Arabidopsis thaliana: one gene and its partners. The protein of the gene in region 4 interacts with the protein of the main gene of each other region in a pairwise test. Each region holds a gene or a part of one and is shown on either strand. Other genes may lie near its edges. The genes, in order: UNE12, AT5G42220, AT5G32440 and AT5G15802.

Region 1 (5,241 bases), on a different chromosome or scaffold from region 4:
AAATCTATTTCCCGCCAAAAAAAAAAAATTGGCGGGAAAAATATGTTTGAAAACAAATTTTGGCGGGAAATTTATTTTGGAATATTTTTGGCGAAAAAATATTAATTTTTCATTTTGTTAACCTAAAACAATTTCCAAATAAGGGTAAAATGGTCATTAAAAATTTAAAGAGGGTAGAAATAAAATTGGATAAAACAAAAGGGTAAAGTTGAAAAAGGGCATCATGAAAAGGGCATTAGAAAAAAAAATTCTTAAAGGGATAATAATTAATATATTAAACTATTAAGTTGATTAACTGATTTTTTTTGTGTTAATATATTATCAAAACAAAACTTGTTTTTTTTTTTTTTTTTTTTTCATCCAAAACAAAACTTGTTTTATTTATTGATTTTTGTAAATAACTGTTTTTCTTAGCTTTTATTACTTCTTATGTTGGATGTTCGTGTTTGGTCTGAGAATTACCTCCTTAAGCACAAGTTGTTCCTTTATAAATGAGCTCCATTTAGGCATAATGATGTGAACCCTTTAGTTTTTGTTGGTGTAGACTCAAATTAGAGAGAGGAGTCGCTGAGATTGATAAGCTAGCAAACAGAATCTTCCATATCGACAAGCTTGGGAATCAACCTGAATTGTGATAGAAGAGAGAAAACATTTTCTAGGAAACTAAATTGTCTCTTTTGAATTTGAAATACTTTATTTGGAGCTTGTTTGCTTAGCGCATATCTCGAATTTGATTATATCTCGCAAGATAATTATGTGACGTTTTTGAATTATGTAAACATCTCAATAAGTGATATAGGAAAATTTAACTTACAAACAGAAAAATAAGCGATTTTTTCAATACATTCTAATAGTTGAATACATTAATTAGAATTAGGAGGGATACAATAATAGATAACTACAATTCATTCGTCATGTTCTAAAAATAGAGAGCAATAAGTACGACGGACAGTACCGTCACTACTTGGCGTCATGGTAGATAGGTAGTGGATCTGCTAGATATATGAGAACGGAAAGAACCAGAAGCTATTAGAGGCGGGAGGAGATATGTGGGGATGATTTCAGTGCAATTCCACGACGCACCATTTCCACTTTCGTAACACCTAAACGACCGCTTCGGCCGTATAAAATCGCAAATGTTTGGTCTCAGTGTATTTTTCCAATTTCCAAATACATCAATTCAAATTATATAATATCTAGTGGCAATTATAAGTATATCATATATTTTCAAAATTAATTAAAAAGATTACTAAATTATGTTTGACTACAACTATTATAATAGTTAAAAACATAAACAAAAACAAAGAAACTATTTTAATAAAAAAATCAAGTAAACATTAAAACATAAGCAAAAAATAATGTTAAAGAAATTATTAATTATTAATTTACTAATAATTAATACCTCTATAAATTAATTGTTAGAGGTTTAACGTAATTTATAAGGAAAACTAAAGAAGACTTTAACCCATAAAGAAAAAAACAAAGACTGAATTGAAGGCCCATATTTAGAAGAAGAGAAAGAAGACCCAAATATGATATAAAATCCAGCCCATTTATATATTTTTATTTTGTTTCTGGAAGGAAAATAAGAAAATGGCAAAAACGAAATAATCTGAAAAAGTAAGGTCTTTTACCAAAAAGGATATTTTTTTTATAAACAGAGCATAAAGTTTTCACTTTTCTTCTGCTCCTTTCTCGTCTCTGTCTTCTTCGTCCTCATTCGTTTTAAAGCATCAAAATTTCATCAACCCAAAATAGATTAAAAAAATCTGTAGCTTTCGCATGTAAATCTCTCTTTGAAGGTTCCTAACTCGTTAATCGTAACTCACAGTGACTCGTTCGAGTCAAAGTCTCTGTCTTTAGCTCAAACCATGGCTAGTAACAACCCTCACGACAACCTTTCTGACCAAACTCCTTCTGATGATTTCTTCGAGCAAATCCTCGGCCTTCCTAACTTCTCAGCCTCTTCTGCCGCCGGTTTATCTGGAGTTGACGGAGGATTAGGTGGTGGAGCACCGCCTATGATGCTGCAGTTGGGTTCCGGAGAAGAAGGAAGTCACATGGGTGGCTTAGGAGGAAGTGGACCAACTGGGTTTCACAATCAGATGTTTCCTTTGGGGTTAAGTCTTGATCAAGGGAAAGGACCTGGGTTTCTTAGACCTGAAGGAGGACATGGAAGTGGGAAAAGATTCTCAGATGATGTTGTTGATAATCGATGTTCTTCTATGAAACCTGTAAGTTCTGTTCTTGCTTTGGTGTTTGATTATTAGAAATGGGAAGAAATCGAATTTGAGGGTTTTGAAGAGAACATTTTTGGTAACTTTTGTTTTAGTTTTTGATTTGTGGTAAGTAACTTTAACAAAGTTGATGATTTGCGTTATGTGCTTTATTTTGGCTCAGACTTGTTGAATCTAATCGATTTTGGTTTGTTTAGTAAACTAAGGTTAGCTCTTGTTACTCTATGAGCAACTTCTCACTAGTTCATGTAGCTGCGTGGCTTATCTTGCCTTCTAAGTTGGTCAAATGAGTAATCTTAAGGGTCTAACTTAAATTATTCTCTTACAACTAATGGAGTCAAATCCTTGTGCAAATGGTTTATTTTCGTTTGGTCTTATTTCTTCTGTGTGTTGTCTGGAAGGTTTTCCACGGGCAGCCTATGCAACAGCCACCTCCATCGGCCCCACATCAGCCTACTTCAATCCGTCCCAGGGTTCGAGCTAGGCGTGGTCAGGCTACTGATCCACATAGCATCGCTGAGCGGGTATATTTCAGATTCTCTTTTGTATTTCCCTGTGATATACTATGTTGGTGGCGAGTTGGTTGTAGTTGAAAATATGTTTCGGATATAAAAAAATGTTAACATTGTGTAATGATCTCTTGATTTTATGGAGGGATTACCTAAAAGTTTGTTTTACTTTACCACAGCTACGTAGAGAAAGAATAGCAGAACGGATCAGGGCGCTGCAGGAACTTGTACCTACTGTGAACAAGGTCTGTACCTTTCACCCTAACCCTCACCTGTATATAATTTCTCTAGAAAGTTTGACACTTTCTGTTTCTCCCGTCTTCGTGTGCAGACCGATAGAGCTGCTATGATCGATGAGATTGTCGATTATGTAAAGTTTCTCAGGCTCCAAGTCAAGGTATATTCTTCTCTCTTCTGCAGTTTTAAACTCGAACTCTCTTTCTTGTGAATTATCTTATTACTCCCTATGCAATATGTTTAATCTGTTTGTTCATAAGATTAGAGATCTAAAGATCATGTCTTTCAAATTCTCTGGATGGATTTTTGGTGTTAATTCTGGTCCCACCATTACCTACCCTTCAACCAAATTTCAATCTGATTAGATCAGTTATTTAATGTGGGAAAGAATAAACAAGTCCAAAATGCTTTTGTTTTCTTTGGCATTTAGTCTCTTTTCACTTTTTGTTTTGTCATAGGGAGCCTAATCACAGTTTATGATTATAATACCATATTCAACAATAATTACAATCATCATGTTCACATTATAATATAGTAATCTGGTAGATCATCAAATGCTTCTTATATCAAAATGCAGTCGGTTACTTAAAGCTCTCGCAAGCGAAAAAAGGAAGTCTCTTTACTTTATAAGATAATGGAGACACTAAAGAAACAGAATGCAATGATGGATTTCTGATAAGATAATACATCTTTTGTTTTAAAAATAGAAAATGTGTTTCTTGTGAAATCTTCCATGCTCATCTAAAAGTAAAAGCTTTTTTTATATATATAATTTTCATGGGGTGAAGCTTATCACTTTCAATGATATCTGTTTCTCTTTGTCAACTTTGGTAGGTTTTGAGCATGAGCCGACTTGGTGGAGCCGGTGCGGTTGCTCCACTTGTTACTGATATGCCTCTTTCATCATCAGTTGAGGTAAAAACTTTTTAAGAACAAAAAGTAAAAACTTTAGTAATGGGGTTTTGATTCAGATTTTGCTTAAAATGTCAATAGGATGAAACGGGTGAGGGTGGAAGGACTCCGCAACCAGCGTGGGAGAAATGGTCTAACGATGGGACTGAACGTCAAGTGGCTAAACTGATGGAAGAGAACGTTGGAGCCGCGATGCAGCTTCTTCAATCAAAGGCTCTTTGTATGATGCCAATCTCATTGGCAATGGCAATTTACCATTCTCAACCTCCGGATACATCTTCAGTGGTCAAGCCTGAGAACAATCCTCCACAGTAGGATTTCTGCAATAAAGAGTTTGTACAGCTAATCCAACTGTCCAACATGGGTTTTTCTTCTGCTCTAATGACTCTGGTTTCTTCTCTCCTCTCTCACCCACTTGAAAGGTAAAAAAGTGAAAAAGGCTTTGTAGATGGAATCAATGTAGGATTTGCAGTAGAGGGAAAAAAAATGTCAAAAAGCTCAATTGATCAAGTATTATTGTAATCATTGTACCTTTATTTTAGGTGGACTTTGATGAAAGCAACTTTTTGTTTTCAAGACTTTAGTGGGAGGTTGAGGAAGGAGCTTGAAGGGTGTTATTTATTAGTAGTAGTAGTAGTGGGAAGTTGTGGGACCTTGTTGAGTTGTGTTCAAATTGAAGAAAAAACAAGTATTTGTAATTTGTCACCCCTTGTATTATTATTTATTTTGTATGACTTTGGAGTAGTATAATTAATTATCAAATAATATTATTAGTTTGATCTAGTAACCATCCTTTGTTTGATAACACTAGAAACATAAAGCAAATATTTTAGGAGAAAGTACCATGAATTGTGCTTCTTTTTTTTAGTGGTACGTGTACAATTTTAACTTCCAAATCTCAAATGCTAAGATATATACACTTTGGACAGAACATGTATCAATTTAAACTTGCATGTTTACATTTTGCATTGATTAGTGAAGACAAAATACAACTTTTATTAATATTGTTAGTTTTGGAAAAATATAGCCAAAAAAAAAACTCATCGAAGAATTAAAGTTATTGATATGATTATTTCATGTGATTCATTAAATCATTCTGCCAAATTTATTTTTTGAGTAAAGTTTGGAAAATCTTGTGTCTTTTGAAGTAACAGATAAAAGTTTTGTTTTTATTACAATTTCACATGAATCTTAGAGTGAGATAATAATAAACGAAGATGATTTGGCAATTTGTTTAAAATGGGTCTAAATTCCAAAACCAAGAAGACTACAAAGAGTATGCAAACTCAATTTGATGCGGTACAGGCGTCAAACATACATCGCTATAGCCTTTGCGTTATTGAACC
Region 2 (8,002 bases), about 12 Mb from region 4:
TAGCGATGAAACAATTATTTGCAAAACTCATCACAAAAGACAGCTTGTCTTAGGAATGTTCATGATCTCCGATGTCGCTAAGTCATGGCTCGCTGATCTTGAAAATCTCTGAACCCATGATGTTTTAGTTCAATTTTGTCGTCATCCTTAATTTTTCCGGTGGTGATCAATTGTTCACAACCCTTGAATACGTAAAACCATAAAACAAATTTTAATAATCTTTTAGAAATTAAATATAAAATAAAACAATATTATTAATTTGTCATAATCCAAAATTATAAATTTGTACAACAAAACAAACACAACAACTTTGTAATTTTAAACATATTAAAAATTCATAGTAAATTTTATAATATATAATTTTTTATAAAAATTAAATAATATATAACATCTTATTATTGGGGTTGTCGTGACAGTTCATTTTTCTGAATTATTCTACTATTTATTAGTTTACATTCCATATTTATTGTGCAATCTTTATTACCTATTTGTTAAGGAATTAAACTAAATATATAATTTGCTACAGTCACTCGTTAGTGTAGCCCTTTAGCCAAATTTTCGATCAAAACCAAAATTGTCAGTTATAAAGGGACACCTTTTTCCCAAGTAATTTGGTCAATGTCGAGAGTTATGAGTAATCTCTGGTTAAAGATGGAAATATCAAATTGAATCGGCCCTTTAGAGACCAGATAAATTACGTTTGCTTATGTTTAGCAGAGTATAGACCATCCCAAACCCTAATTCTTAATACATAAGTGAGGGATCTCAGCAAATAAACAAAGATACTTCAAAGATATGACACTTACAGAACCAATTCAACCAAATATCTTATAGACCTTGATCATCTTTTAGCCGGCCTTCGATATCACGTCTTAGCAACTCCGCATATTCCTGCAACACTCAAATACAAGTCTGATCAAGGAGTCTTTATTTTTATTAAACAAACAAACTAGTCAGTTTTGATGCTTACTTGAGAAAGAGCTTCATCACAGCAAAGCTCGTTCACTAGTTCGTCTTGGCTTATCGCAGCATTTTCGACCATTGCACGGAAGACATCCTCTGGTGGATCAGAGTGCTCAATCATTTGAGCCATGGATTGAACATTTACCTATTTGGAAAAAGTAGAAAAATAACATTCATTACACGAGATAGAACAAGAGACAATGACGTTTATTGTAATACCTAGGTAAGAATGGTGTTACTTTTTCTACAACTAAAAAAAGACAACAACAAAATCCTACTCAGTCGATAATAGTATCAGTTTTTCTTCAGCCACATTTTTTTCCTAAATCAAAAACGCAAGAAATCCAAACCTAACACTCGTAGATGTACCTGAGAAGGTTGACGATCATCAGGCTGTATTGTTGCGGGATGAGGCAATGGCCCTCCTTGGCTAAAAGCACGTGAGACTAGAGGCATCATTTGTTGGACCATTCTAGAGAAATCAAAGCCGCCGCCCTCGCCTTGAGCTCCACCTGACATCATATTTTCTATCTCTTGCCCATCCACCTGTTGCGCAATCTGTTGGACTGTGTTCATGATCTGTGGATTCTGGGTAAACTGCTGGAGCATATTTCTCAGCATATTTGGTGAATCAACACCAGCTTGTCGAGATACCCCTGCTAGCAATCCATCCAATACAGGGCTCTCCAGGACCTGAGACATTGCACTTGAGACATCTACACGATCATCTGAACCTTGCCCGCGTCTAAGACCAGTCTCATCTGAACGAGAACTACCAGAAAAGAGAGATTGCAAAAGCTGCTGACCACTGGTCCCACTGCTTTGTTGCACACCTTCAAGTGTAGCTGAAGTCCCGCTATCTTCAGTCTTACCTGATACCTTCGGCTGCTTGCTTCGTTTCTTTAACCAAAAAAAACATACTATGACTGTAAGCATTTGGAACTATGACACTTGTGGATATGCTATGCAATGAAAAACAAGCAGCAGCAACTTGACGCTTATTTTTCAACTGATTCATTACCTTACGGTCTAAACCGCCAAGCCCCAATCCAAGTGGTGTAGCTGTAGCTACCTCTGGAGTAGCCTTATTGGTTTCTTTGGCATCACCGGTAGCATCTCCAGACGGAGCTGATGATTGTCCTGTAGTACAAGAGGTATCTTTTGCTCGGGCTGGATGCTCTAAATCTCCACCAAGATCTTTTTCATTTTGACACTGGTTGAAAAAACAAAAATTAGTGGTAGGCTAACCCTGGTGAACATAAAATAAAGAATCATCTGATTGCAGAGAAGACATACCACTGAGTTGCTCCTCTCAGATGGTAAGTCATGCAGTGAGCCACTAGACGACTCAGGTGCGCAAGTAGTTGCAATGTTGGTAGGCTGCTCAGGCATAGCAGTGGCAACACCATGGCCCGTAGACATATCCCTCTCGAGAGATTCTATTCCTGATTGACACGTGAAGAAGAGCTTGAAAACATTTCGTCCACAATGTAAAACTTTAGTCAGCAGGAAACCTACCCGATGGAATCTGGTCTCTTCCTTGCATAATGTTTACCATATCTCTTATCCTTGCATTGATTTGAGCAACTGAAACATCATCACCCAAACCAGGTTGAACCCCAGCAGAAACGTTCTCACCGGTAGAGTGTGATGGAACAGCCGCAGGAACTGAACTTGTATTGCTGTCACGGTCTCCTTGTCCTCCTTCTCCATTGCTTCGCTGGTTCCCAACTGATGACAACATAGGTGAACCTGATGTGCCTGGTAATTAAGTATGAATTTTAATGGAGAAGAATTGTGCAGCTAAGTCCAATAGCAAAAAAGTGAACTTCACCCACCAGCATGTATGTGAATATTAATGTGCCTTTGGGCAGTTCCTAAACCAACAGGTCCGGTTAGTGGATTTGATGAGACAGTAGCACCAGTAAAGAGAGGGCTGATTTGGTGAGGAAAAGGCTGCAAAATACAGTAATAATTACATAAAAGTAGAAAATTAATTTAGAAAAAAGATGAGACTAGAAGCTTACCTGAACCATAATAGGATTCGGTCCTGATGGAGATATATACACAGCAGGCCCTGCATTCACATAGGATAATTCCTGTAGATCAAAGTGTTAATGAGCCGCATGTCAAGAATGAATAGGAAAATGCACGAAAGGAATGACCCAAAACGCACCGGCGACGGTGCCATTCTCAATGTCAAAATTGTGCGTCCAAGCTCCAGTAGGAGGGCCCCTAAATGTTGCATGGCAAGACCTACTTGCACGGCCTCTGTCTGGATTTGTGACCTTAGAGTAGGATCTGAAGATGAACCATCTTGCTCCAGACGTCCCGCAATATGCTACAACAATGTTTTTGCAAATTACAAACAGCACATAATTAGATGACAATGCATGGTAACCATATACATAACAGTTCTTGTAAAGAGAAAGAATGGAATCAATTAATAAGCAGTGTGAAGAAGGTGTTTACCGATAAAGAAGAGACACCGAGACCACTCAGTAAATGTTGTGCATTCCTTAGGACAACAGAGAGTGCTTCAGGTGTTGCTGCACCTCGTCTATTTCTAGGCAACTCTTCCCTTGGTCGCCCTCCGGATCCAGCAGAAGAGGTATCTGGCTGATAGCCTGGAGGAACATCCAATTAACTTATTTATGTGTTCTCTATCCAATATGACAATAAAACTTAGATCACAATACCATTTTGTGATAATGCCTGCTCCATCCGATTAATGAACTCCATTAGAGTGTCTAAGGAATCCGGAATAGGCTGCAGAATTAGAGAGTTACATTGTAAAATGACAAGATTAAAGCTCTAGTCTCAAGATCAAAATACTACTACGTGACTAAGAACTACCGTTAAGAATGAAGGGATAGGAATCGTTGTGGCTGCTGTAACAGGAATCTGAACTACACGAGGCATCGATGTTTGAAATGATACACCAGGAAATGCTTGCCTAGGTTGTGAATGACCCGTAGCTTGGCTTTGACCACCAATGCCAGGCTCTCCATCAGATGTATTTCCAGGAGGTGCATTAGACGACTGATTCGACTAGGAAAAATAAAAGCGCATGCAACATCGAGTTTAGAAACAGGCAATAGTTGATGACAATATGAAACCTTACACATCAAATAGTAACAACACCTGATTCTCAACAATCCTTAATGTAGACTAAGCACTAATATGGAATAAATTCGAAATAGAGAGTGACGAGAAAAAAACTCACGGGCATAGAGGATTGCGTGCCATTAGTACTGTGATTTGTAGGAAGCTGTCCACTAACTCCAAAAGAATTTAGAACTGCTCCAATGACCTTAGTAGTTAGCAACACAAAATTAAAAGCAGGTTAGCCTAACTAATCAAACCATCCCATAGGCCAAACAATATCACAAATCCTTGGGGATTACCCGGCTGAGGTCTGGAACAATGCCTTCTGTCTGATCTCCAACATTAAAAGACCCAAGAACTACGCTGTGGGAGACATGTCTTCCATTTCGAGATGGTCCACCATTTGTATTATTTCCTGTTGAATTAAATAACAAGTTGAAATAAGATGATGGTTGTGTTAACAGCTCTTTTAAAACTCAGAAAGGGGATAAAAAATAACTTGATTACCATCATTTGCAGTTGCCCCTTGTGAAGGTGTACCAGAGGAAGGAGCTGATTCTGCTGGCTGCCTCACAATCAAGTGTAAAGTATGCCCATTTTCCAAATCTATGACGATGTCAAGTTATCAACTATACTGAAAGTAGAAAAGCGATGGAAGGAAACGACAGACATAAACTAAAACTAAGCTTATCGAAGGTATATATATATATATAGTTCTCTTTCTGGATTACAGCTTCCTCTACGGTGTAAGACTCACAAAAGCAGAGATGCACTTGATCAATCAAAAACTAGACTTCCGACAGATTTGGTTAACATGCATTTTATACACAGGGCACATGGCATAATGCAACAAACAGCTACACTATAACATAAAATCAACAAGTTAACAAAGTCGCTAGCACTAGGATACGATACTCCGAGAGAGGATGATCATCTTTCAAAACCCGTCCTCGGAAAATGAGCCGCTGCTGACCAACCGGCACCCCTGTCTCACTAGCAATCTTCTCCTTGAATAGCAAAACAGTTTCCTGCAACAAGTCAAGCCCTAAGCAGTATCAGATATAAGCAAACTAAACTTAAGCAAATATGCAGGTGAAGCAGAAGAAGAAGAAGATTTCTTACATTCTTGTTCACTTGGAAAGTATACGTCCGCGAGTCTAACGTTTTGATGTTAAGCTCAAGGGTTGATTCTGGAGTTTTCTCCGACGCATTGGTGCTACTAGAGCACTGGTTAATGGGTTGATCTTCCATGAACCCTAAAGTATTAAAATTTAAAAAACATAAAGCTTGTAAATTCATCTTACAAAAGAATGATCTCATAATAAACAATATTATCTCTAGGGTACTCAAATCAAAACCTTTACCACACACATTTCCAGATATTGATCATACAAAACAGAATCAACAATGAGACACAAACAAATGACATAACTAAATGCTAGTCATTGTAACAAAAGACCAAATCCTATATATATGCAAGTCATTGTAATAAAAATGCTAAAAATCAAAAACTTTCACCATCCAAAGCCACAAACAAAAGACCCAGACCCAAATAAATGCAAGTCATTGTAATATCACTGTTCAAAAATCAAAACTTTCACCGTCCAAACCCAAAAACAAATCTGCTAAGGCAAAAACAGAGCCTATAGATACGGAAAAAAAGGATCAAGATTTAAGAAAAAAACAATCAAATTCCATGAAGGCAACGAAGAACGAACCTATTTGCCGTCGTGGGGTATTGAAAAATTGAAACTTTGGCGGAACAAAAGACTCTCCGATTGAAATCTAGAGAAGTATCTCAAAGTTGAAACACGAAACCAAACCTGATGTGTTCAGAGTTAAAGGGGAAGAACAAGGGCGATTGTGTCGGGAACTCGGGATTTTGGTGAAATTGAAAAGAAAAAGAAGAATCTAGAGGAGGAAGATACAACGACGACGTTTTGAAAACCTGAATTGACGCTTCCGCGAATATAGGCCTAGTCTCCGCTCTAAATGTGGACTCTTCTATTAATAATATAAAGCTGGGCCTGGCCTTTTTAACCATATCTAAAATAAATTTTAAACATGTGCTTCTTTTTCTGTTTTATTATGTAATTTTGATTTCTAATATTTAAGTATTTAAGTTTACACATAACTGGATTAATCATGAAGATTATGGTTTACATATAACTGAAACGAATCTATGTTATTGTTGTCGTTAATAATGGTTATTATTTTATTATTTTTTGTCATCAAATTATATTAATGTTCAAATGAGTCAACTTTAGAAAAAATTGTTTACATATATGAAGCGATTCAGTACGAATTTTTCGTGCCAAAGTATTCGTTCTAACATTTGCAGTATAAGAGATTAGAGATAGAAACAAGCTTGAGATTTTTTTATTGTCACTCAGGCAAATCTTTCAAAATTGTAGAATACACCGGCCATTAGGTTAGGGAAAACACTATATTCATTAGGTTTGAACAGTCTGTGAAAAACACTACATGTTGGTTATGTGTCGAAAGATCATTTAAAGTTTAGTCTGACAATTTTGCGGCAGTGTATATGCAAACAACAACAAAAGTAGAACAATCAAAGCATATAGACATAGAGTGTCATATTGTGTGAGAAAGGATTCAAGATGATGTGGTTTCAGTTAAGCATATAGGTAGAAATTTCATGAAAGCGGATCCGTTAACTAAAGGTATTCCACCTAAAGTTTAGTCCACATTATTAGTTAAAATACAAAAACAACTAGATTTTAACCTGTGGTATACCGCGGGAACAATTTATTTTTTAAAGTTAGTATATATAAAAGTTTACAAATTGTATCTATCTATAAAATAATTTTATTTTATAGTTTACAAATGTTATTAAGTATCGTCCTGTCAAACCCGTCCTGTAAAAAAAAAACTATTTATTTTATTAATGTTGATCTTATTTATGATATGTTTATGAATCATTGTCTAAATATTTTGTAATTTTGTAGTAATTAAATGCTATCAGATTATATCTCTGCGCTTTGATGATTATAATCGAATTGTTATAGTTATGGAGAAAATCAATATCAAAAATGATAATTTTGTAGTAATTAAATGATATTAAATATTTTGGAAGTATTATTTTAGTAAATAATCGTGTAGTTAATGTGGAGATATTTTGGGAAGATTGTTAAATGTCAAATATTTAATTCGAATATTTTCTTTTTAATTATCAAAAACAAACATTAAAATCCAGTGGCAGCCATTGTAAATAAGTCACAACTAAAGGATTTATTTCACAAAATGGCTGCAAAAATGTATATATAGATTATAATAAAACATGTTTCAATTATGTCTATATATACAAAAATAATTATGATGTATATAAATAAATTTAATGATACAAATATTGGAGCTATTTTGTTGCTTTAGACAACTAAACTAACTTTGAACTCAAAAAAAGAAAGAAGATATCTAAATTAACTGAAACGGCCATTAAATATGGTGTTTCCCCTAGGAGTTATTGACTAACCTATACAAGCTATTGGTGTCTTGCTGACTTTAGATATCATAAACCCGTACACAATATGGGTTAAAAAAAAACATCAAGGATTCGACCAATGCAATTAAAACCTGTATATTATCTTTCACTACGAAATCCATATGGTTTTGAGGAAACTGTGTTATGGAGATCCCATAACTGATATTGGTGTTGCTGCTCTGATCATCAGGCTTTGGATGAAAGCTATAGTCTACAAAGAAAAACAAAGTAACGGACATTATATATATTATTTTTCTTAGTAATCGAACAACTCATATAACTTTGAGGAATCAATTAAAAGGTTTATATGTTTCACATACATTGTCATATAACTAAATGTTAAACCAAAAAAAAAAGAACTGAATGAGTTAGTGATTTTTCATGGGAAATTAGATAAGATTTAAAGTTTCCTTTTTGCACAACCAACAA
Region 3 (4,021 bases), 6.9 Mb from region 4:
AATTGGTTCGATTAAATTTTCAAACCGAGCACATTTAAAACATATGCCTATCGGTTCACCTAGAAAAACCGACCATGAACCAAAGTAACTAAACACCGGTTCGGTTCGATTTCAAAGATTTCAAGTTGGGTAAATATTGCAGGCATGGTTTGAACTGTGGGGATTTCTAAATCACCCTCTCCGTGGATAGAATAACAGACCAATATGTTCGATTAAATTTTCAAACCGAGCTCATCTAAATCATATGCCGATCGGTACACCTAGTCTAGAATAACCGACCATGAACCAAAATAATTCAATACCAATTCGGTTCGATATCAAAGTTTTGTTTCAAGAACTGTTGTGATTGTTTTCTAACAATACTCAAGTCTTTATGGGTCTGTTCGTAAGTTCTTGTGACCGCCAGACTCCAACAGAGCAAAGTGGCTATGGCCGAGACAAAAACAGTCAGCCGATGATGAACGACCGGCGTCAACATCTCTCATTGACGCTAGTATTACCAGGCTACTAGCAACATAACAAACTCTATTCGCTGTTTGTTAACTGATTGAAATAAGTCTTATATCTGTGGAATCCATCATTGAACTCGAAAGAGAATATATACAACAATAACAACAACAACAACAACAAAAGAACACAGTTTTGATTCCCCGAATATATATAAATAGTCACAAACCAACAGAGAAAAATACACTGGAAACAAAATGATACGAGGGCCTCACAAAGTATTAGAAGACGTCTGGATGGTACCGCCCCGGGATGGAACTGTTTTGCTGAGCTTGTTTCAGATGAAGCGTCAGAGCATAGTTATTCACCTGCAAGGAGCAATCAAAACAAAACTTAGAAGTTAGATCTAATCATATCGACAAAAAGACAACAAAATTGTATAAGATAAGGTGAAGACATTTAATACAGACCTCTAAAGTTCTCAACTGTTCCTGGTATTGAGTGACTAGCTGCCTCAGATGCTGCAATTCCTGACTTTGGTCTTCCGATTCTCTTTGCCGCTTCTGCTGTGTCACTACCGCTCGTTTCAGTAAACTGTTTTCCTGTACAATAGCTTCTAATTGCTGCTTCAGCATCATGTTTTCCTGAAAAATCGGATGTTCATAGATAGATATACATCTCTGGCAACAAAACTTCTTATCAACAAAGAGTGAAGAAAGAAACAAAGAAAGATAGATGAGACACCTGTTGGAGATTTTGCATTGCGTCAGTACCAGTACGTGCATTAATTGACTTCTCCAAAGCTTCCAATGCTCTTGCAGCACGGGCTTTGGCGTCTTTCATGTCAGAAGCATTCATCATTTCCCTAACAAAAAGCTCAACCCACTCTGTACCATCCAAGTTCAAGACATTTGGTTCCTCCTTGGCTGATCCTACAAATACCAAAACCCGTTTCATAATTAAAACTTTGTAGAGCGAGTCTACGACTTATGCAGAATACACTGAAACTAGTAAACTGTTTAGAGATCAGTAGGACACAAAACTACCTTGCTGTTGAGGTTCAACATTTGGTTCCTGGATTACAACAGGAGATTGGTTTGTAGCAGAATCAGAATTCTTATTGGCAGATTCTAAACGAAGCTGATTCAAACATCTAATGGCTGAATCAAGGTCATCTCCACATTCCTCGATTGCCCTCTCAAGAATCTACCACACACAAATGTCAACAACTTTATAACACCAATAAACCATCACAGACATCCATAGACATAAAGAAGCCTAATCAGAAGAAACATATGCTCCTCTAATAGGTCCAATAAATCACCAAAAACATCTATCGATATGCTCATTACTGATAAACACAATTGCATAATTTCATTTCAATCTAATCGAAAAACCTAATCAAAGAACAATCAATCAATAAAATGATCCAGAATCGAAACAGGAAAAAAAAGATGGAGATCGGAAAAATGAAGGACCTGCTTATCCATATCGGGGAAAATCGCGGCGAGGTGATCGAGAAGAAGTGAGGAAGAAGGAGGAATCGGAGGAGAAAAACGAGACGAAGAAGATGAAGAAAAGCAACGGAGTTTCTTGGAGACGGGAGGAGAAGCGGCGGCTAAGTCCTCGAACAGAGATCTCTTCCCGCAAACAATCGCAGACATGTTATCTGCTTCCCCCCTTCTTCTTCTTCCTTGAGATCTCTCAAACAAGTCTTTTATCGGATCTTAAAGATGTTCGCAACAAAATGGATCCAACATGTTTAGGAACTCTGACCCTTGAAATGGGTAATTGGTTTAAGAAGAAATTTATAGATTGTATTTTTTTCAATTCGGTAAAACTGGAGATTGATAGAGAAGTTTTTTAATTTAAAGATTTTGAAAAATGGTTAAAAAAAAGGAAAAAATTAAAAATGTCATCTAAATCATTAGTTTTTATTGGTTTAAAGCATAAGTTTTGATTTAGTGATTTCAATCCTCAATTTTATGTTGACTTTCGATTTGATCACGAATTCGTGTTGATTAAGTCAGTTAAGGCATATCGTTAAAAAGTCTCTTAATCGAAAACCCTAGATTCCCAAAATCGAAATTCTTACATTATTGTCGCTGATGCGGCTTGAATATCAAAATTCTAGAGTTGTCGGAATTAATAGCGACACCATCCTTACATTATTTTTAAGCAGCTACTGTCACCGGTTTAAAAACCATTAACGAGATTTGCGGAGAAGACTCTAGAAAAGAAAAAAATTAACCAAAAAAATATTGTTTTTAATTGAGAATTTGGGAATTTTACAATCATCCCGTTTTAATTACTCATAATTATAATATTTAGTTGTTTTCTAAAAGAGTCAAAGGGAGAGTCACACGACTCTAAAAAGAACACATCTCTAATAATTAATAAAATCAATTCAAAATAAAACAAATCATTATACTTAAATTAAAATAAATAAGTTGTTTGGTCTACGATATTTTTTTGGGTGAGTTACTCAAACAACACATAAAAGTCTGTTTATTACTGTCATGTGTTGTACGAATTGTTGATCATTAGATGATGGGTAATTTGTTTTTTTTTTGTTCAAGAAAAGATATATGTTTAAAAATGGTCAACAAAAAAAGCGTATTGTAGCAAAAGGATAGTAGAAAAATGATATTTTTGCAAATCTTCCTTAAAAGATGATGTCATGTCAGTGAGAGAAACTGTATTTCGCCCGCGAAAAAGCACACCATAACATAAGTCTATCGCTGTAGTGACGGTAGGGTTAATGAAACATGGTAAAGTTAATAAATTAATTGAGTTACGTGGTAGAGATATATTCAGTAGAGTTGTGTGATTGAGTTATTTATAGTGGTGGCAGAGTTAAGTTGATAAACAAGTTACATGACATATTAGGATTCTCCGTTTACTCACATAGCATTAGAGAATATATACTGTAACGTGGTGGCAAAGTTAAAAGATAGAGAAATGTAATTGACTTATAAAGTCGAGTAATTTGTAGTGGCAGCAGAATTACTCAGAAAAACATAGTTAATTGCCAGAAAAATGGAAATAAGTCTGTCATAGTGTGGTAGAGTTAATCTGTTGGTATAGTTAATTATAAACTACCAGAAATATCCACATTGATAGCAGACGAGGATAATCATTTTTCGTAACTGTTATGAAAGATAGTTTTTTAATTTGATTACTATATAATAGCACTAAAACAACGTTAAGATAGAAAATCATTAAGCGGGAAGCTAAAATCCCTTATTCCGCCAATAATTAGAAGAAATATTTTACTTAAGAGCAATCTATCTCAGATCTGAAAATTTAATCATCATAATTTATTCATAAAACCGAATAAGACAGAAAAAACCCAAATCTAAAGCTACGTCTCTCTCAATCCACCTTCAACCCCTCAATTTCTTCCCGTGTCCATCTCTAAATCTAAATTTTCACTCTACTTTCTTCTTCAAGTCATTTGCTCTTCCTTTGTTTTGTATTTTGCTCACCCTCTTGCCCAACCATTTTGGATTTTGAATCTCTAGAAGTAGAAGGCAAGTTGGATTCGGTCGGAGAAGGTTTGATGGTTTTGCCT
Region 4 (3,731 bases):
CAGAATAAGGTAATGAAGGAGTAAAATCTCACTTGGAATAGCAGACCTCGCCGTTAGCTCCACATAACACTGCCATGTCAGTTGCTGTACACATCAGCAAACCACCATCGGCAACTGATTGAACAGCTGAGTCAAGGAAAATAGACGGCGCACCATATGGGTCAAGATCAACCTAAGACATCACTGAACCAAGTTAGTTATGTGATCAATAAGATGAAAAGATTTTGCAAAAATTGGATACTTACCACATCAAAATCTTTTGGGTGGCTGAGCATGTGAACACGAGCATCAGTAAGATGTGACTCCACCTTTGAAGTAGACATCAAACCATTGAACTTAATGTTTCTCTGGCAGGCTTCAACCGATGCTTTAATAGGAAAATGGAAATACTATATTATTCTGGGATGTTAGGACGAAAGAAAAGTAGAGTCTCGAACCTCTTCACAAGCACAAACGTTGAGAAGGAAAAAATACCTGGGTCATTATCTAAAGCCACAACTTGACCAATTCCTTCAACTTCACGAGCATACCTCAAAGCCCGTAGCCCTGAAGCTGACAGGGCCTATAAAATAAATAACACAAGAAAAAGTTATCAACTAGAAACGCATAATAAGCAACGAAATAAGAAAACAAAAGTACAGCTATTACAGTCATAAAGGAAAGAATATAGGTAAACCTCAAGCACTCTTGGTGGTTTGAGTTCCCTTCGTGCAGATTCATATGCGGTCTTAGCAGCTTCCTTTGGTCCATCCTGAGTTGTTACTTCGTGTTCTCCATTGGTTTTTCCATTATCGTCACCGTTTTCAGTAGGAGTTTCTTCCTTGGAAGTTTCAGAGACATCCTTCTCAACCACTTTCCCAGATGATCTAGCTCTTTTAGATAACATAGCCTCATGCTCTTGCTTGCGTTTGATTATAAATGCCCTTAGCACAGCAATAGACATGTCCCTATTGTTAACCTAACCATAAAACAACACGCAATTAGTTTAGCTCACACTTATATCCATATGGATTCACACAAGAGAACATAATTGCTAAGAAGGATTTGGGATCAGTTGCCTTCAAATTTCTCACTAACACAAGCATGACACTAATCCATAACAAGAAAAAAACACTAAATTTGAAATCTTAAACCAAGATAAAATGCTCAAAACTAATACTTGATCAATCCTAAGATTGCCCTTGACATAATTCAATCAATTATCACCAAAGAGGAAGAACCTTTGCAGAAAATCAAATCATATAGCAAACCTGAGCTTTGTTGAAGAAGACTTGGTTCTTCTTGTGCATAAGAACCTCAGCTTCTCCTTCCTTAATGACAGTATAATCATTGAGATCCGTTTCCATTGCTGATCTCAGATTCTTCTCTTTAGGAGCAGAGGATTCAGAAATTGAATTACCAACACGAATCTGAAACCCGAATGGCAAATCACAAAGCTTGAATCTATAGATATGTGAATAAAGATGTCGAAATTTAGCGACTGGTTTGAGTGAAGCTTGAATAAACCCTATCGCTTCAAGCTTTGTTGCAGTTTCAGAGAGACACAAAGGTGAAACTCTAAAGAGGCCGTACGGGTTTGGAAGCGAGTAACGGAGTATACTAAGTTGTTTAAACCCTACAAATCGTTTGGAGAAATTCATTTATTTAACTTTGGGATACAAATTGGTGAAATCAAAAGATACGGGGTCAAAATTGAAATTATTAAAAGAAGGAAAAACAAAAAAGTGGCCTATACAGGGATCGAACCTGTGACCTTCGCGTTATTAGCACGACGCTCTAACCAACTGAGCTAATAGGCCATATCTGATAAGCTCTAGATATGTAAAATATTTACCCGTTTGAAATAAATTCAGGATATCATTATCATCAAGTTAAGAAGAAGGAACGAGAGAAGAGAAGAGAAAAAGGAAGACGACGATGCAGAGTTTAACGTCAAACGAAGTTGCGGGTTTGGCAGTTGGGGCTCTGCTTCTTGGTGCCACCATCGCTGCTCCTAAAGTTGATGCTTTTATCGCTGCTTCTCAGAGAAGGTAATAAAGCTTTTCAAGTTCATTACATAAGATTTCTGAAATTCCACAAAATCCAACTTTTTGCTCAATCTTTCATGTTCTGAGTGGAACCCATGTCGTGTTATATCCTGTTTTGGATTTAAACCGTGTGGATTTGTTTTGTTGTTATGTGATAATGATGATGCTTGTAGTAGCTGCTTAGAATTGCAATGAGCTGCTTGATTTTAATCCAAGAGGGTTTGATTTAAACTATTTTTTCATCCTTAAGAGTTTCTTTGTGATCTGTAGTTTGGAAGGATAGATTCTGAATGAAAAAAAAAATCCATTGTTGAGTTATGTTTTTAGTTTCAATCTCCAATGGATTACATTTTTTTTCTGAGTTCACACCATGTGAAAGTAATGGTTTTCCTGAAATTCTGTATTCCTCACTGAAAGATCTTTTGATTTTTGAAATATTCAGGTATTGAATCATTCTTGATCTTGATTATGGATTCTGAAAATCTGACCTTTGTAATGAGACATGATCTTAAGACTGTTCATTGTGGTTGCTGACGGCTATAAGAAATGTTCTAGAGTGTTGTATGTCCATGGCTGAATGACATTAGACTTGTTTTTGAATCTATAACTTGCCATCATCATATGTTTCTAAACACAAGTTTTGCAGATCTCTTGGCATGTGTCGAAAATGTGGAGATCTTAAGAATGTAGCTTGTGGCCGTTGCAAAGGAACAGGAACAATCAAATCAGGAGGATTCTTTGGTTTCAGTGACTCATCAAACACAAGATCAGTGGCTTGCGATAATTGCCAAGCCAAAGGTTGTTTCCCTTGCCCTGAATGCTCAAAATCTTGACCATTTTCTCGGTATTTTATAGTTGTTTCATCTTCTTGACACTATGATAAGTGTAATCGGTCCATTGGTAATGGTAATGTTAAAGTTGAAGAATGTCTTGTTTATTCGAGAAGTCTCTTATTCCAATTCTTGATCTGTTACTGCAAATAAGGCACTTTGCTTAGATGTACCGGATGCTTATGAATTACTGAGTAGGTTAACTTTAACCGGGTTTTATCGTCATTAAACCGGAGAAATTCATCTAGTAACCAAATGCTCTGCTGGACCTTTCTTTCAGTGAGCAACTATAGGTGGGTTTTTGGCAGTTGATGTACCATAATTGGTGCAAACACACATTTTTCTTGAATTTTTGTTTAACTTAAATAAAGTTACTTCGTTTTCTTGTTTTTTTTAATATGAATAAAAAAAATCAACCATAACTGATAGTAGGTTGGTTATCTTTATCAAAACAAATAAAGTTAATAGGCAGAAAAATAATTGTCTATAGAATCAATTATGAAAATGCCATTTTTTGGGATGGCATTTGTGGATTTTGCCCTTTTTTTAATAGTTTGTGAATTTTGCCATTTTTCAGGTTACGTGAATGAATATACGTTTTATTCATTATGTTTGGGTTTACTCGGTTGTGGTTGTTCTTAGGGTTTAGTATTTTGTGTAAACTACGTATTTTTACCAAAAAAAGTCCGAAATCCATATATTTTTAAATCTTAGAAAATGGCTTATCCGTAAGATTTTAGTAAAAATGGCAATTTCAAAAGATCTCTATAAAAAATGGCAAAATCAACAATAATCCCTTGTCTATATGGTGGTATTTCTGCTAAAAGTGACTTATGGGTAGATTTTTTAGCTTCATAGATTCTTTGTCGAAAAA

Evidence for each region.
Region 1: the proteins of AT5G15802 (region 4) and UNE12 interact in a two-hybrid assay, tested with the Arabidopsis thaliana proteins (one large-scale study listed by BioGRID).
Region 2: the proteins of AT5G15802 (region 4) and AT5G42220 interact in a two-hybrid assay, tested with the Arabidopsis thaliana proteins (one large-scale study listed by BioGRID).
Region 3: the proteins of AT5G15802 (region 4) and AT5G32440 interact in a two-hybrid assay, tested with the Arabidopsis thaliana proteins (one large-scale study listed by BioGRID).

Annotation. Positions count from the first base shown.
Region 1 is NC_003075.7:1,136,937-1,142,177, reverse strand, and holds UNE12 (basic helix-loop-helix (bHLH) DNA-binding superfamily protein), read left to right. Parts: upstream 1-1,637; 5' UTR 1,638-1,871; coding exon 1,872-2,234; intron 2,235-2,638; coding exon 2,639-2,761; intron 2,762-2,925; coding exon 2,926-2,991; intron 2,992-3,077; coding exon 3,078-3,143; intron 3,144-3,817; coding exon 3,818-3,898; intron 3,899-3,976; coding exon 3,977-4,210; 3' UTR 4,211-4,691; downstream 4,692-5,241. UniProt on the Arabidopsis thaliana protein: Required for ovule fertilization.
Region 2 is NC_003076.8:16,870,282-16,878,283, reverse strand, and holds the start of AT5G42220 (Ubiquitin-like superfamily protein), read right to left. Parts: upstream 6,047-8,002; 5' UTR 5,790-6,046; intron 5,328-5,789; 5' UTR 5,323-5,327; coding exon 5,194-5,322; intron 5,100-5,193; coding exon 4,982-5,099; intron 4,678-4,981; coding exon 4,579-4,677; intron 4,487-4,578; coding exon 4,371-4,486; intron 4,277-4,370; coding exon 4,190-4,276; intron 4,015-4,189; coding exon 3,820-4,014; intron 3,733-3,819; coding exon 3,663-3,732; intron 3,591-3,662; coding exon 3,436-3,590; intron 3,305-3,435; coding exon 3,140-3,304; intron 3,063-3,139; coding exon 2,991-3,062; intron 2,920-2,990; coding exon 2,802-2,919; intron 2,725-2,801; coding exon 2,482-2,724; intron 2,409-2,481; coding exon 2,260-2,408; intron 2,177-2,259; coding exon 1,985-2,176; intron 1,864-1,984; coding exon 1,333-1,863; intron 1,109-1,332; coding exon 971-1,108; intron 892-970; coding exon 829-891; 3' UTR 807-828; exon of another isoform or gene 552-806; intron 183-551; and 1 more. Other genes in the region: AT5G42210 (Major facilitator superfamily protein), read right to left, coding at 7,716-7,784.
Region 3 is NC_003076.8:12,075,104-12,079,124, reverse strand, and holds AT5G32440 (Ubiquitin system component Cue protein), read right to left. Parts: upstream 2,233-4,021; 5' UTR 2,112-2,232; coding exon 1,926-2,111; intron 1,654-1,925; coding exon 1,491-1,653; intron 1,380-1,490; coding exon 1,192-1,379; intron 1,092-1,191; coding exon 918-1,091; intron 816-917; coding exon 729-815; 3' UTR 522-728; downstream 1-521.
Region 4 is NC_003076.8:5,155,707-5,159,437, reverse strand, and holds AT5G15802 (chaperone), read left to right. Parts: upstream 1-1,892; 5' UTR 1,893-1,917; coding exon 1,918-2,030; intron 2,031-2,673; coding exon 2,674-2,860; 3' UTR 2,861-3,194; downstream 3,195-3,731. Other genes in the region: AT5G15810 (tRNA (guanine(26)-N(2))-dimethyltransferase), read right to left, coding at 33-172, 246-367, 475-562, 677-958, 1,251-1,346.